Linked DNA regions of Canis lupus familiaris. Each later gene encodes a partner of the first gene's protein in a complex. Links are inferred from orthologs where the notes say so. Each region holds a gene or a part of one and is shown in the gene's direction. Other genes may lie near its edges.

Region 1 (8,090 bases):
ATTCCCATATATTTATATATGTATGTACACATATGTGATGTGTGTCAGTGTGTGTGTACATACATATATTAAACTCAGTACCATTATATACATTAAAAATACATGTGCACATTTCGGAGAGGGTCATAACTGGACACAAAGAGGACTTTCTGGAGTGTGGGCAATGTTTTATTTCTTGATCTGGGTTTATGGAAATTCATTGAGCTGTACACCTGAGCTCAGGTAGGCTGGATGAAAAGAAGGTGGAGCCCCACTCCACAGAGAAGAAATTCCCATCTGCCTCCTCTGCTCCTCTGTGAAATTCCACGCTGGCCTGCCTTGTTCCCTCTCCCTGGCATGAGTAAAAACCATACGATAGCCCTTTCTCAAACCCACCATCTCCCTCTCCCATAAAATCCTCTGGCTTGCCTCTGCTCCAAACCCTGCCTGGGATGCTCCCCTGTCAGTGCAGGATAACCTCACATCCAGGCTGGGCCCAGGCCAGGGAGTCCCAAATCTCACAGGGCCAATAGCAGGATTTTTTCACAGGGAGACTGGACAATGGGGTGGGCCTCAGTTTCCCTGTTGAAATGAGGAGGAGGGGTGTAGACTCTCATAGGCTGCCTGGAGCTGACCTTCTGCCCCTCTGAGACCCTGGCCAGGCCTCTCCTCTACACTGGTACAGCTGTTCCCCACCACCCTGTGGAACAGGAGGGGGTTGCGCTGGCTGTGGAATGTGCTCAGCTCATCCTTCCCCTATCAGGACTTGATCTTTGACCTGGGAGACCCTGTGAGGTGGGAGTACCTGCTCTTGGGGACTGATAAATCTCACCTGTCCTTGACTGAGGAAGAGGATGATGGGATGAATGACAATGACGATGTGGAGAACCTGGTGGGTCTTAGCAGTGTGGGGCTGGGTGGTGGGATGGGGGGTTTATACCCTGTCTTGCCTCAGGCCAACCTGACCAACGTCCCCACCTTGTGCATGTGAATTGAGTGGGGTTAGGGTAGGGGGAGATGGGCCAGATAGACCAATTATAGGTTCTCCAAAGCAGAGGGGCCTGGACCATGCTCTCATTTTACAGATGGGCAAACTAAGACCCAGACAGGTTCGCTGACCTACCCAGGACCCCCCAGTGGGGTAGGGAAGGGCTGGGACCTGCATCTGGGTCCCCTGTCCCACATACAGTCCACCCTGGTCAGCGGTTGCCCTGTTTCTATAAAGAGCCATGTCCCCTGCAGTAGGGGTGACAAGACTCTGACCTCATTTGCAGGCCTTCCTGCATAGCCACTATGATCCCCCTCACGTGCTTCCAGGCCCTTCTTATCTGTCATATCAGCCCTCCATTGGCCAGGGGCCTTCCCCATGGCATCAGCTTCCCTTCTCCCATGTCCTCTGTGAGGGCCTATGGGGGGTCAGGCACCTAAAGTCCTTAACTCTTGGCTGAGACACTCTGGGCAAACTTCCCAATTATGGAGAGTTTCAGTCTCATCATCTGTATGTAAAATGAGGGTGGGGGAATGGGATCAGTTACAGCCACAGTAATAGTACTAGGGGTAGCAGGTGGCTAGAGCTGCCATAACAAGTACCACCCACCAAGGGGCTTAAACCAAAGAAGTTAATTTTCTCCCAGTTCTGAAAGCTGGAGGTCCAAGATCCAGGTGTCAGCATGTTGGCTTCTTCTGAGGCCCCTCTCCTCGGCATGTGTCCTCACGTGGTCCTTCTGTACACGTGTCTTAATCTACTCCTCAAGCAAGGACACCAGTCACACTGGATTATGGCCCACCCTAGTGTCCTCACTTTAACTTAACTACCTCTTGAAAGATTCTGTCTCCAAATATAGTCACCTTCTGAGGTCCTGGGGGGTTAGGACATGATTAGGGAGACACAATTCAGCCCATTACACTCAGTAACACTGCCATGGCCCTAAGTGCCAGCAGGCACTTAGCTTGAATTAGCAGGTGCTTAACCTGAATTAACTAACTTGTCCAAGTCTTTACAACCACCTGGTGAGGCCGGTGTTAGTATTATCATTTATGATTATCATCATCCCGTTTTACAGATGGGAAGACTGACACGGAGGTGGGGGAAAGTGATTTACCCAAATGTCAATGGCCAGTGAGTGGCAGAGCTGGGGCTTGAACCTGAGATCTGACTGTCTGGCTCCCAAGGCTGGGATCTGAACAGTGACTCTGTTCTACCTCCTTTGGACTGCTTGGGGGTAAAATTAGACCAGTGTTAGGAGGAGCTTGGCATGGCGTCATCTCTGGAGATCAGCCTCCCTGGCAGTATGTCTCGGGGCACAGGCGCCCCCTGCTGGCCTCCAGACGTGGACAGATAAGATGACGAGGGACCAGGTGTGACCAGTGTTTGGGGGCAGTTTTAAATGGAGGAAAATCTTTCTGTAGTTACCTAGCTTGAGGACCATTTGTGTAAACCAGGCCTTATTTTACAGATGAGGAATCTAAGGCTCAAAAAGGCAGAGTAAGACAGTAGCGAGGCAGTGTCTCAAGTGGTTCATATACATTCTACATGTAATCCTCCCATGGAGTCCAGGTAACAGGATGCAGGCTCAGAGCAGTTGAGGGACTTACTTGCCCAGGACCCCTAGCTGATGTGGGCTGGAGGGCCACCCGACTCCAGATGCCCCTCTCTTAGGAAGGATCTGGCTGTGCCTGGTGCCCATGCCGACCGACCAGGTGTTGACCATCCTGGTCAGGTGGGTCAAGGGGCTCCTGAGCTGCCTCCTTTTCTTCTTTACCTGGGGTCATGCCAGGTCAGAACTGCCCCTGACCTTTGGCACCCCTGGGGGAGCTAGCAGCCACTGTGGCTTGGCCCTGGGGGGGGCAAGACAGAGGCTCTGCCTCTAGCTTCCGCTCCAAGGCCCAGCCCTGACCAGAGCCTGCCCCCTCCCCACCTCTCCCAACAGGGCAAGGAGGATGAGGATAAGAGTTTCGACATGCCACCCTCATGGGTGGAGCAGATTGAGATCTCCCCAGAAGGTACATGCACATTTGTGTTCCTTGCCTCCCCAGGACCAGTTAGTGGGGGAGCCAGTGAAGGCTGCCCCAGCCCCTCATTTCCACCTCTCCTGCCTTCTGCTGTGCCCTGATGCACCCTGCTCTGAACAGTGTCTCTGTTCTATCTACTTCCCGCCACATGCACTCAGCTCTGTGGCTGGGGGCCTGACACCAGTCTGGTGTACGGGGGAGGAAGGGAGGGGTGCCAGGTTAACCTGTGCTAGGTGATGGAGTGTGGATAATAAAGGACGGAGGAGAGGGATCCCTGGGTGGCTCAGCGGTTTGGCACCTGCCTTCGGTCCAGGGTGTGATCCTGGAGTCCCGGGATCAAGTCCCACATCAGGTTCCCTGCATGGAGTCTGCTTCTCCCTCTGCCTGTGTCTCTGCCTCTCTCTCTCTCTCTCTCTCTCTCTCTCTCAGTCTGTGTCTCTCATGAATAAATAAATAAAATATTTTTAAAAATAAATAATAAAAAAATAAAGGACGGAGGACCAGGACGTGGTTGTTGCCCTCCCCCACCCCCCTGCCAGGAGGAGGCCAAACAGCATAGTACCCAGATGGCAGAGGGGAGCAGAGGCATCAGGACCAGGGAGGAGCAGCTCCCCAGGGAGGAGTAGGCAGAGAAAGCAGCAGGGAAGGGCCACTTGTGAGCCACGCCAACATCTACTGGCTGTTGAGGTTCCTGTCTGGGAGGCCTAGACCCACACGGAGGGCATAGGGTATTCCAACAGTGGGAAGGGCTAGAGAGGGCATCATGGGAACCAGGGGAGGAGTTCCCAGCCCAGCTGCCCGCTTGGGGACTGGGAGAAGGTGGGCAGGAAGGGCTTCCAAGAGGAGGAGGAGTCTGAGCAGGGTTTTAAGGGATCAGAAGCCAGCCCAGTAAGGGCAGGAGGGGATGGTGATTCCCGCAGAGAGACCTGCACAGGCAGAGGCCCAGCAGCGAGTGAGTGGTGTGGTAGGGCACAGCTCCCGTGGTCAGGCTCAAAGCTGAGAACTCCTCCAGGGCAGGAGCTACCCTGGTGACTACTTCCCTCTGTCTCCCTGGAGTGGGCTTGGGGCCTGGAGGAGTTTAGCACAGTGACCAGATGAGTGGCTGAGTGGGGTTGGCCCTCTAGTGCCCCAATCTGGGGAGGCGGGACCCCAGCCCACTCTGTGTCTGCAGCGTTCGAGACCCGCTGCCCCAGTGGGAAGAAGGTGATCCAGTACAAGAGGGCCAAGCTGGAGAAGTGGGCCCCATATCTCAACAACAATGGCCTCGTGTGCCGCCTCACCACCTACGAGGACTTGGAGTGTAAGGCGGGCAGCCCCGGCCGCGAGGGCAGGAGAGCTGGGTTCCCCAGTGGGCTATGTGACCTTGGGCACGTCCCTGCCAGGCACTTGTTGTGCGTGTGGGCCCCCGCTGACCTGTGTGCCGGGAAGGGTGGGACAGAGGCTGGGGGAGCCAGCCTGGCTGTGGCAAGTACTGATCGTGCCCTGCAGGTACCAAGACTTTGGAGATAAAGGAGTGGTACCAGAACCGGGAGGATATGCTAGAGCTAAAACACATCAACAAGAGCACAGGTCTGAATATCGACTACTTCAAGCCAGGCCATCCCCAGGCTCTGCGTGGTGAGTGGAACCCGCTGTCGGTCCCAGTGGGAGCCCAGGGTATGACAAGCAACATAAGCCCCCACCCCTGCCTCCCTAAGCAAACCAGATGTGCACGAGGCCAGGGGAAGTGCAGAAGATGTGACAAATGTCCCTCCAGGAAAGTCAAAACCAGGGCCACATGCCCATTCTGTGCTTAGGGCTAGGCACATGCTGAAGGCCACCTTTCTAAGGGGTCAGGACACAGAGCAACAAAACTAACAAATGCCCCCACAAGGGCGATGCGGAGGGCAGGGGTGTGGTCATGAGCCCAAGAGGCAGGGAAGTGAGGGAAGGATGTGTCTTGAAAGAATCAACAGCCCTAACCAAGGACACAGAGAAGAAAAGCCTAGTGTCATTATATATCCTTTAAAAATGATCAAACTCACTTGATGGCTGAAATGAAAGAAAAAGGAAGGAAGGAAGGAAGGAAGGAAGGAAGGAAGGAAGGAAGGAAGGAAGGAAGGAAGGAAGGAAGGAAGGAAGGAGCCGTTTTACAAACCTCATGTTGCGAAGATGACAAAATGGTCCTACCGGTGTGTAAGCAAAGCAGCAGAGAGTTGCTCCCTGTCACTGCTCATAGGACAGCAAACTGGCTCAACTTTTCGAGAAAGTAGTTGGGCAAAATAATAATAGCTTTAAAATACATACGCTTTTCGACCAGCTGTGCTACCTCTGAGAATTTGTCCTGAGCAAATACTGGGCAAGAACTAAAGAATGTTCACCCTGGTGTTGTTTCTAATGACAAAAAGGTGAGAAACAACCTGAACACCCAGCAGTGGGGCATTGGTTCCATAAGTCCTGCTCATCCGCGAGCATCCATGGACATGCCTTCTCCCTGGGGCCCGGGCCCGGGTTCTCAAGCCAGGGGCCAGCGCTCCTGGTCTCACCCCGCTGCCTTCCCGGCCCCCGCCTCCCACCACAGCGCACTCGTACGTGTCTATGCAACCCGAGATGGACCGGGTCATGGAGTTCTACGAGACAGCCCGTGTGGACGGCCTGGTAAAGCGGGAGGAGACGCCCAGCTCGATGACGGAGCACTACCGAGGACGGTCTGACTTCCTCTCCTACCGCCACGTGGATTTTGGGCCCAGGGTGAAGAAGTTGGCTCTGAACAGCGCAGAGTCAAACCCGCGGCCAGTGGTGGTGAGCTGTCGTTGGGGCAGGCACAGGGCGCCCGCTCTCTGCGGCAGCGCTGGAGCCACACCTTCAGGAGGGGGCACCTCCTGGTTATAAAGCGGGAGAGATTGTGCCCCCTGCCACTGTGCCATACGTGCACACTAGAACGGTGGCTCTCAGATACTACTGTGCCAGTGTCCATAGGCTTGGTTCTTGGGAGTCTTTTCTAACCTATTTGAGATGTGTGTGTGAGCGAAGGTAGGACCCCTGTATCGCTCACCTCACATTGAATCGGCCCTTTTCCCTCCACATCCCTGCAAATGACCTGGCAGCTGTGGCTAATGGCTGTCTACCCAAGGAGCTCTTCCCAGCAGGAAGGGATGTGTAGTGATAAAGCAGGGCGCCTGGCGAGGTGGTGAGCTCCCTATCTCTGGAGGTGAGCAAATAGAACCCTGTGCGGGAAGAGAAGAAATGCCGCAGCATCAGGGCTGAGGTGGCCCGGCTGAGGACCCACGGGGCCCTGGGGAGCCATCGGCGGCAGGAAGGGCTGCTCCACGGAAGGTCCCCCAAGACCCCAGAGCCCGGGGTCCCTGAGCGTCCTGTACTTCTGCCCCCGGCGGCACGCGCAGAAATCCCCTTCCCACCAGAAAATCACAGAGCGGTTCTCCCGCAACCCCGAGAAGCCTGCGGACGAGGACGTGGCCGAGCGCACATTTCTGATCCAGGAGGAGCGCATCCAGCTGCGCTACCACTGCCGGGACGACCACATCACGGCCTCCAAGCGCGAGTTCCTGCGGCGCACGGAGGTGGACAGCAAGGGCAACAAGATCATCATGACGCCCGACATGTGTATCAGCTTTGAGGTGGGCCTGGGGCGCCGCGGTGGTTCCCTCTGGGTCGCCCGCACCCTAACTCATGGCTCCCAGCTGGGAACTTTATCTCCGCCCCTTGGGAAACTCAGGAGCTCCCATCTGGGGACCCTTGTCACTGCCGCTCCTCTGAAAATCTTCCCCCTTTCCCACCAAGAAAGACAACCCAACAGGCCAAGACTTGTCCTTACTGACCCTTCCCCCCAGTCCTGGAGAGAGCCGACCCCAGACCCTGGGGCCAACACTGGAGTGGGAGAAGGTCCCACCACCTCTACAGAGCCGGCTTCCGTCGTTGAAATCCTCACCCTCCTGGCACATTCCTTAGTCTGAGCCTCCAGCTCGTCTTCTTTTATTATCTGTGTTTTTATAGATGAAGAGACTGAGGTTCAGAGAGGTTAAGCCAGTTGCTTATGGTCACACAGCTAGAAAATGGTGGGGGAAGATTTGAACCCGAGCAGTCTGGCTCCAGAGTCTGCCCACCACCTTAGCCGCTGCTGCCTCTCCTTGTCACTGTGCTTGTTGTCGTCCCAGGTGGAGCCCATGGAGCACACCAAGAAGCTTCTGTACCAGTACGAGGCCATGATGAAGCTGAGGAATGAGGAGAAGTTGTCCAGACATCAGGCCTGGGAGTCGGAGCTAGAGGTGGTCCCATCGGAGCGTGGGCAGGTAGGAGGTGGCAGGAGTGGAGAGTGTCTTAACCTTGCCCTCCCCTACTTCCCAATTCAGGTGCTGGAGATCCTGAAGCTTCAAGAGGAGGAGGACGACGCGCACACACTGGCCATCTCCATCTATGACACCAAGCGCAACGAGAAGAGCAAAGAGTATCGGGAGGCCATGGTGAGCCTTGTTCCCTGGCCCAGGCCCTGGCGTTTCCTGTACACCCCCACCACCAACAACAACCAGGCCTCCAAGGTGGTGAGGATGATTAGGGAGGCTGCCGGAGGCTCTTTATAGGGGATGACATTATTGACATCATTGCGGTCATCCTTGCTGCGGAGCTGCCCATTTCTAGGATGAACTCCAAAGAGCATGCAGGATCCAGACCAGGTCTCCCCCCACCTCCAGGGGCTATGGCCAAGCTGTAGAGGCCTCTACTGCATGGGGAAAGAAGGAAAATCATGTACCCACCTCCACTCAGGGCTCTCCCCAAGGTCAGGACCTGGGCCTGCAGCCCCAGTGAGCCACCTCTGGCCACAAAAGCTCAGGACATTTGGGTTACACCCTCAGGCTACAAGGCCCAGCTGGGGTTTCAAGGCAGCTTTTGAATCCCCTACATCAACCAAGTGAGGGCTTCTAAAAATAGTTAGGGGTTGGTGAGGCAGAACAGGGCATCAGATCCCAGGGACGGATGGGTTTCAGATCCCAGGGATGGATGGGTTTCAGATCCCAGGAATGGATGTTGACCCCCACATCCCCAGCCTCACTGGCCCCCTATCTGCCGATATAGGCCATAAGGCCCTGGGTAAGAAAGGAAGG
Region 2 (6,963 bases), on another chromosome or scaffold:
GAGGGGGACAGAGATTGAGAGAAATAACAAGAGAATCTGCAGGTTCCTTGATCCACAAAGGGAAAATCCCTGATGTTTTTTGCTGTTTTCATTCTAGCAAGTGTATGGTTCCCAGAGATCCAGGCAGCAGACAGATGAAAAAGCTCCAGAATAACTAACACAGGGCTGGAGGAGAGAGGGTTGGGGGTTGCCTAACAAGGACAAGTCACCCATCATACTCCCTTCCCCAGAACCATTTTTCCAACCACTCATGCCCCAGCAAGAGGCTAGGAAGTATCCCCTAGAGAGAGGCACTCCCAACATGGCCCAATAATTTTTTTTTATTTTTATTTATTTATGATAGTCACAGAAAGAGAGAGAGAGAGAGACGCAGAGGGAGAAGCAACCGGGAGCCCGATGTGGGATTCGATCCCGGATCTCCAGGATCACGCCCTGGGCCAAAGGCAGGCGCCAAACCGCTGCGCCACCCAGGGATCCCATGGCCCAATAATTTAAGTAGAAAAATTGAGGAGACTCCTGAGGTCAAGCAAGTCCACTAGAGGGAGCCCCGACCAACTCAATTCTACATGAAGCCTAGCAAAGGAGTTTCGCAGCACCTGACTGAAAACCAGCCACAGAAGGGAATAGAGGAAGAGAGGCAATAAATTAAGTCCCCGCAAGGGAAGATGGCCCTGTGAATTCCCAGTTAAAACCCAGCCCTTTTAGGATTTACCAAATCAAAGACTTAAAGACCAGGAAACTAAGGGGTACCTGGGTGGCTCAGTGGTTGAGTGTCTGCCTTTGGCTCAGGGCGTGATCCTGGGGTCCTGGAATCAAGTCCTGCATGGGGCTCCCCACAGGGAGCCTGCTTCTCCCTCTGCCTATGTCTCTGCCTCTCTCTGCGTGTCTCTCATGAATAAATAAATAAAATCTTTAAAATATATATAATAAAAACTAGGAAACTGAGGTTGAGCAAAATTAAACAACTGACCCAAGTTTACGTAACTGGAGGGAGGACTAGAACTCATGGCTCTTGTCTCCCACTACTACCCTTTCTTCTACATCTGCAGCCCTTTATGTCAGCACCCTGGAGTCTGTGGGTCCTCCTCTCCTCTGTGTCTCCTCTCTCCAAACTGAGAAACTCTCTCAGCTGCCTTCTCCTGCATTTCTTTCGCTCACACACTCTAGAATACCTCCCTGAGGCCTAATAATGGCACTTGCTCATGAGCCCTAGTGATGTAAATCGCCCAAGATGGCTACTGTCAGCTCTTTTCCTGTTTCAGCATTTTCCTGTGACAGCATCGTATCAGATATGGAAATCTGTAACTTCTCAGTCTCCAGACTTCAGGCAGTGCTACATGGAAATGAAGCATGGCTAACCAGCTCTGAAGCCCTTTCCCCTCCAACTACACTGAGGATTTACGGATAGGAGAGAGTGGACTCTCCAGAACCTTGCTGTCTTTTTTTTTTTTAATAATAAATTTATTTTTTATTGGTGTTCAATTTGCCAACATACAGAATAACACCCAGTGCTCATCCCGTCAAGTGCCCCCCTCAGTGCCCGTCACCCATTCACCCCCACCCCTAAGAACCTTGCTGTCTTAAGCTTTGTGCTTGGCACATACCACCCTTCTATGAGCTCCATGTTTTCCAGTTACCTGGACAACCTTCAGTCTCCAGAAACTCAACCCTGTGGTTCTCAGGCCCGCCCTCGAAGGATCTTTGTCACCCTGGATTGGTTCCCAGAACCCAGGCTCCTCCTTGGGCTCCGACGAGGTTGGGTTTTCTCTGTGCCCCTCCCTGTAAGCCGGTCACCCCGCAGGGAGACACAACAGAGGCCAGAGAGGGTCCTTCAGGTAGGAAGAAGCAGGGTAAGGATGATGGGAAGAGGAAAGGGACGAGTACTGGGAGATTGATTTTCTCCAAAAGAGGATTGAGAGGAATGGTTTCTGCCCACAGAACCTGAGGGGTAGAAAGAAATAGCTCCACCCTCCCCACACCCCAGCCTTGACTAAGGTTCCAAGGAGACCAAGAATGGAAGCTCCTGGAAAGTATAAGAGACAGACTCAGAGACTAGAACTCCAACTCTCTTGGGACGCCTAGGGTCAGGAAAGCAGCCCTATGTCTAGCCTTAAATATGAGTCCTCTCCCTCCCCAGGACAGCAAGGAGATGCCACCTAAGACCAAAGAAAAAAGGAAGAAAACTGGTGCACAGAAGAAGAAAGAGAATGCAGGTGCTGGTGAGTCATGCTCTAGCTTAGAGACCAAACAGAGGTGCTCCAGAGAGAATGCAGCCCTCTGAATGATAAGATGAAGCTTTCATATCCCTCCCCCTTCATCTCTCCCCCCCCCCCTCCAGCCAGGGTTCCATGGAGCTGGGAAATTGGGGGAATTAGCATGCATCCACTCTGTGGCCGCCCTTCTGGCTCTGTGCCTTCCTTAACATACTCATCACCCGTATTCTGAGTATACTCTGTGCTGGGCAGCCAGGACACAGGGGTGAACTCAGCAGACTCTGCAATCCGAGATCCCTCATTTAGAGGTCCTCAGAGCCACAGGAGGAAAGGTCAGGGTGTGGAATGAGGACGGGGAGATGAGAGGAAGGCTGAGATCATGATAAACTGAGGCTCTGCCAACTTGCTAGGGCAGATGTGGAGGTCAAATACGCACACAGGCTGGCAGTGATGGAAAAGGAGTTGCTCCAAGACCACTTGGGTAAGAAGGGTACAAACTCTGGGACAACAGAGATGGGGCAATGGGGGATTTTGCATGCTGGAGGTTTGTAGGGTTGGAGCCATGGTGGGAGGCTGAGCCGACCTCTCCCTCATTCCCTGATAGATAAAAGATTGACATTGTGAGGAAGGGGTGGGCAGCAAAGGTGGGTGAGCATACCTACCTATATTTTTATAAGCAGAACGTGAAGTTTTTCCTTCTTAGCAATGAAGAGCTCATGGGATTCTAGGGGGGGGAAAACCAACCAACCAACTCAGAGAGAGAATGAGAGGCTGGGAATCTCCCACCAGGTTCCCAGAGGTGGGCAGAGTCCATCAATCCCACGGGGCCTGATTCAGCCCACCCCACCCCACCCCCACCCCAGCCAGTTGTGAGCACTGCTCTGAGACTTTTCACAGCTCTGCGGAGGGATGAGGCTCGCAGAGCCAAAGCCTCTGAAGACCAGCTCAGGTGGAGGTTGCAAGTGCTGGAGGCTGAATTGGAGGAGGCCCGAAGTGAGGGGAAGGCCATCTATGCAGGTGTGTGGTCAGTCAGACAGGTGGGCAGAGACCTGGAAAAGGACAATCAAGGGGGCCAGAGGATGTAAAGAAGGGAACCGAGGAGGATTTCCACCTGCTACTGACTAGCGCCAACCTTCCTGGCTCAGTGTGAATCAGGCAGGGGCTTGAAGGAACCAAAGGAAGGCCTCTGGGACCCAGAGGCAGGAACCTTCCAGGATGCCCAATGCCATGTGCTTTATGGATTACAAAAAGCACTTCCTGTGATATGGATCACCAAAAAAAATTACATGACCTTTGTCTCATTCATGTAGTGAGAGTGAGTGGGGAAAAAGGCTAGAATCCAGGTCCTGAGCTGGGTGAGGGAGAGGGGTGTGATTTCTGAGCTTCTCTCCAGGTATTCAGGCTCTGAAAGCTTCTCAGAATCCTGGGAACGGAGAAGACCTTACTGCTCTTGTTCCCACCAGACAAAGCAGGCCCTTCCCCCCTTCCCCCCACAACTTCCCTTTCTTTCTCCACCACTCCATCCACACCCGGGGCCCTGGTCACCCTCTGCCCTCACCACAGAGATGTGTCGTCAGTGCCGAGCCCTGCAGAAGGAAATGGAGACCCACAGGAGGCAGCAGGAGGAAGAAGTGATGGGCCTTCGGAAGAAGCTGGGTAGGCTTCCCCACCCCCTAAGCCCTTTCTCTCCAAAGAGCACTGACAAGGTCCAGCCTGCAGGGATGGACTTACAATGGTCCTTCTCTAGAAGACTGCAATCGAGGCTCTTGGACCATTGTCCCCCCTGACTCTCTCACCGTGGAGGATTGCAGCAGAGGGCTCAAGATGGCCAAAATCTCAAAGGTGGAACTAAAGAAACCGGAGAGACTCACGCTGTCTCCCTCTCTCGATGGTCTCGCCAAACCTGGATCTTCCTCCCTTCCACTGCCATGTCTGTCATGAAAGAAACATATTCCTTCTTTTTTTAAAGATTTTATTTATTTATTCATGCATGAGAGACACAGAGAGAGGGGGGCAGTCACTATATGGGGAGCCTGATGTGGAACTCAATCCCGGGACTCCAGGATCACACCCTGGGCCAAAGGTAGATGCTCAACTGCTGAGCCACCCAGGCGTCTCAAAACATATTCCCTCTTAGCTGATGTTTACAATGCAAACTAAGAAAAGATATTTGACTTATTTATTTTCATATCCTCAATGCCTTGGGCATGCCAAGCCCTACATAATTACTTGCTAAATCAAAGAATAAACCTTTTAGAGAAGCAAAAATGTAAAGGACAGGAAGTTTTTCCTTTCTCTCTTGGTTACAGGATAAAGTTGAACTATCTTAGCACGACACATAAGATCTTTCACAATTGTGACCTCAGAGTTTCCTTAACCTAAAATAGCCTCAGTTTCTTTCTTTCTTTCTTTCTTTTTACTAGGCGCCACACCCAATATGGGGCTCAAACTCATGACCCTGAGACCAAGAGTCAGCCAGGGGCCCCTAAAATAGCCTCAGCTTAGCTACAGATACCCAAGAGTTGCTTATCTGCCATGCGGACCCTGAATTCCTTTCATAATCCTTGCCTTATTTCAAATTTAAATTCGATCAGCATTTATGGAGCACCTCCTGTACATACTAGGTATTTTTCCCCATACACTCTCACATTTAACTCACAATAAGTCTGTAAGGTTTGTATCAATCTCTCTTTAAAGATGAAGAAACTGAGTCTCAGAGAGAGATGTACCCAAAGTTACACAGGTAGTAAGTGACAACCAGACTTTGGACGCACATTTCTCATCCCAAGCCTACTGCTCTCTCTGCTGTACCTCAATGGTATATGTCAGATCTTTATACGAACTATGGGAAAATTGATGATCCTGGGGGGGGGAGTCTGGAATGATCCCATTCAAGTTCTGCTTTTGAGGTGTCTTTGGAGACTCTGTTCACAAGTAGAATGTCACTACCCAGTCCCCTTCCTCCTCCCGCCCTGCCCTGCAGAGACGTGCCAGAGGGAAGCTGAGGCTGCGCAGCAAGAGGCTGAACGGGCCCTCGGAGAGCGGGACCAGACTCTGGCTCAGCTTCGGGCCCATGTAGTGGACATGGAGGCCAAGTACGAGGAAATCTTACATGTAAGCACCACCACCTCTGGAAGCCCTACCACCCCAGTAGCTAGGACTCCCCCATTCCCCTGAACCCCAACTAGTTCATACTATCATTGTCATCAATGGGAGACCAGGGGGGAGGAGAAGCATCTCCACAGAGAACCCTGCTCTGCCCCGAGGGCAGACAGCCAAGGCACGCAACCACACTTACTTAGTAAGAGTAAGAACCTGAAGAAGATGCTAGGAGGAAAGCTCGCAGACCAGCCCAGGGAAACCCTTGCTCTACCCTCTCTCCCTTCCTGGAGCCTGAAGCTTGGTGTCCACAGGGCAACCTGGACCAACTCTTAGCCAAGCTGAGAGCAGTCAGGCCTCAGTGGGATGGGGCTGTGCTGAGACTTCACGCCAAGTACAAGGAGCAGCTCCACCAATTTGGACTCAACCCCCTGGATCTCTAAAGCTGTAAGCTTCGGGGCAGCCCGGGTGGCTCAGCGGTTTAGTGCCGCCTTCAGCCCAGGGCCTGATCCTGGAAACCCGGGATCAAGTCCCATGTCAGGCTCCCTGCATGGAGCCTGCTTCTCCCTCTGCCTGTGTCTCCGCCTCTCTCTGTCTCTCTCTCTCCCTGTGTCTCTCATGAATAAATAAATAAAACATTAAAAAAATAAAATAATAAAATAAAATAAAGCTGTAAGCTTCTAGTCTCTGGGCCTCTGAGAGGCTCCAGCAATAAAGCTGTCTTGATGTAGAACTCCACAGAACTGTGGTCTGTGCCTTTTTGACAGATACAAATATCTCTTTGAGGGCATGTTGGTTCTGGCGGACCCATTACTCTGAAGATTGAATGAGAGGATAGAAATTTGACATTTGACAAACTCTCAACTCCTCTCTTAGAGAAACTGGGCCCCATGCCTTGAATCTTGGGCCCTTTGGGTCCTTTCAAATCACCATCCCCTACTCCCACTACCCACACCCCTCCCCGGCACCAACACAGGTAGCCAGATTTGTGGGGGCAAGGCCATTTCTTTAATAGACCAGCAGTGACCAGGCACCAGCCCCCACAATCCTAAGGTGCTGACAGAGAGAAGGTGTAACTGGTCTCCAAACTCTTGCAATATATGGGGGGAGTCCAGGAGTCATGCCTAAGGCAAGTTCCAGATGGCTTCAATCCTAGCCAATCCCATAGCCCACCTATAAAGGGAACACTGTGTTGCTCTTCTATTTTACAACATTCCCAATACTACTTTACTTCTGGTCATATATACGTCAGGGGAGGGGTCCCCCACACCAAGCAATTCTTCAACAGCTCTGTGGACCCCTGCTGGGTACCTTATAATTTCATTCAATTCTGGCACTACTAATGTGAAAAGAGCACCGGATCCCACAGGCTTACGGGACCAATCCCTACTTCAACTGCCAGTGTCAAGTCCAGATTGTCACTGTGCTTCTGACCAACTGACCAAAAAACAAAGGTTCCCACAACCCCCTTCTTGGGTTCCATCATTTGCTAGAGTGGCTCACAGAACTCAGAGAAGCAGTTTACTCCCTAGTTTACCAGTTTATTATGAAGGACACAGCTCAGGAACAGCCGGCAAGTATGTCTAGGGTGAGGCAGGAGCATGGAAGCCCCAGACCCTCTTCAGGCGTACCACCTTCCCAGCACCTCCAC

The links. The genes of interacting proteins can lie anywhere in the genome.
Region 2: DRC7 (region 1) and CCDC153 share a complex: the UniProt entries of both Homo sapiens proteins name them as parts of the nexin-dynein regulatory complex. The link is inferred for Canis lupus familiaris from reciprocal best matches to the Homo sapiens genes DRC7 and DRC12.

What each region holds. Positions count from the first base shown.
Region 1 is NC_049223.1:58,031,049-58,039,138, reverse strand, and holds part of DRC7 (dynein regulatory complex subunit 7), read left to right. Parts: intron 1-742; coding exon 743-871; intron 872-2,909; coding exon 2,910-2,982; intron 2,983-4,162; coding exon 4,163-4,291; intron 4,292-4,479; coding exon 4,480-4,608; intron 4,609-5,551; coding exon 5,552-5,772; intron 5,773-6,392; coding exon 6,393-6,608; intron 6,609-7,145; coding exon 7,146-7,256; intron 7,257-7,340; coding exon 7,341-7,451; intron 7,452-8,090. UniProt on the Homo sapiens protein: Component of the nexin-dynein regulatory complex (N-DRC) a key regulator of ciliary/flagellar motility which maintains the alignment and integrity of the distal axoneme and regulates microtubule sliding in motile axonemes.
Region 2 is NC_049226.1:14,706,260-14,713,222, forward strand, and holds the end of CCDC153 (coiled-coil domain-containing protein 153), read left to right. Parts: 5' UTR 1-1,613; coding exon 1,614-1,835; intron 1,836-2,137; coding exon 2,138-2,219; intron 2,220-2,628; coding exon 2,629-2,694; intron 2,695-3,110; coding exon 3,111-3,230; intron 3,231-3,776; coding exon 3,777-3,869; intron 3,870-3,960; coding exon of another isoform or gene 3,961-4,154; exon of another isoform or gene 4,155-5,183; intron 5,184-5,196; coding exon 5,197-5,327; intron 5,328-5,626; coding exon 5,627-5,755; 3' UTR 5,756-6,050; downstream 6,051-6,963. UniProt on the Homo sapiens protein: Component of the nexin-dynein regulatory complex (N-DRC), a key regulator of ciliary/flagellar motility which maintains the alignment and integrity of the distal axoneme and regulates microtubule sliding in motile axonemes.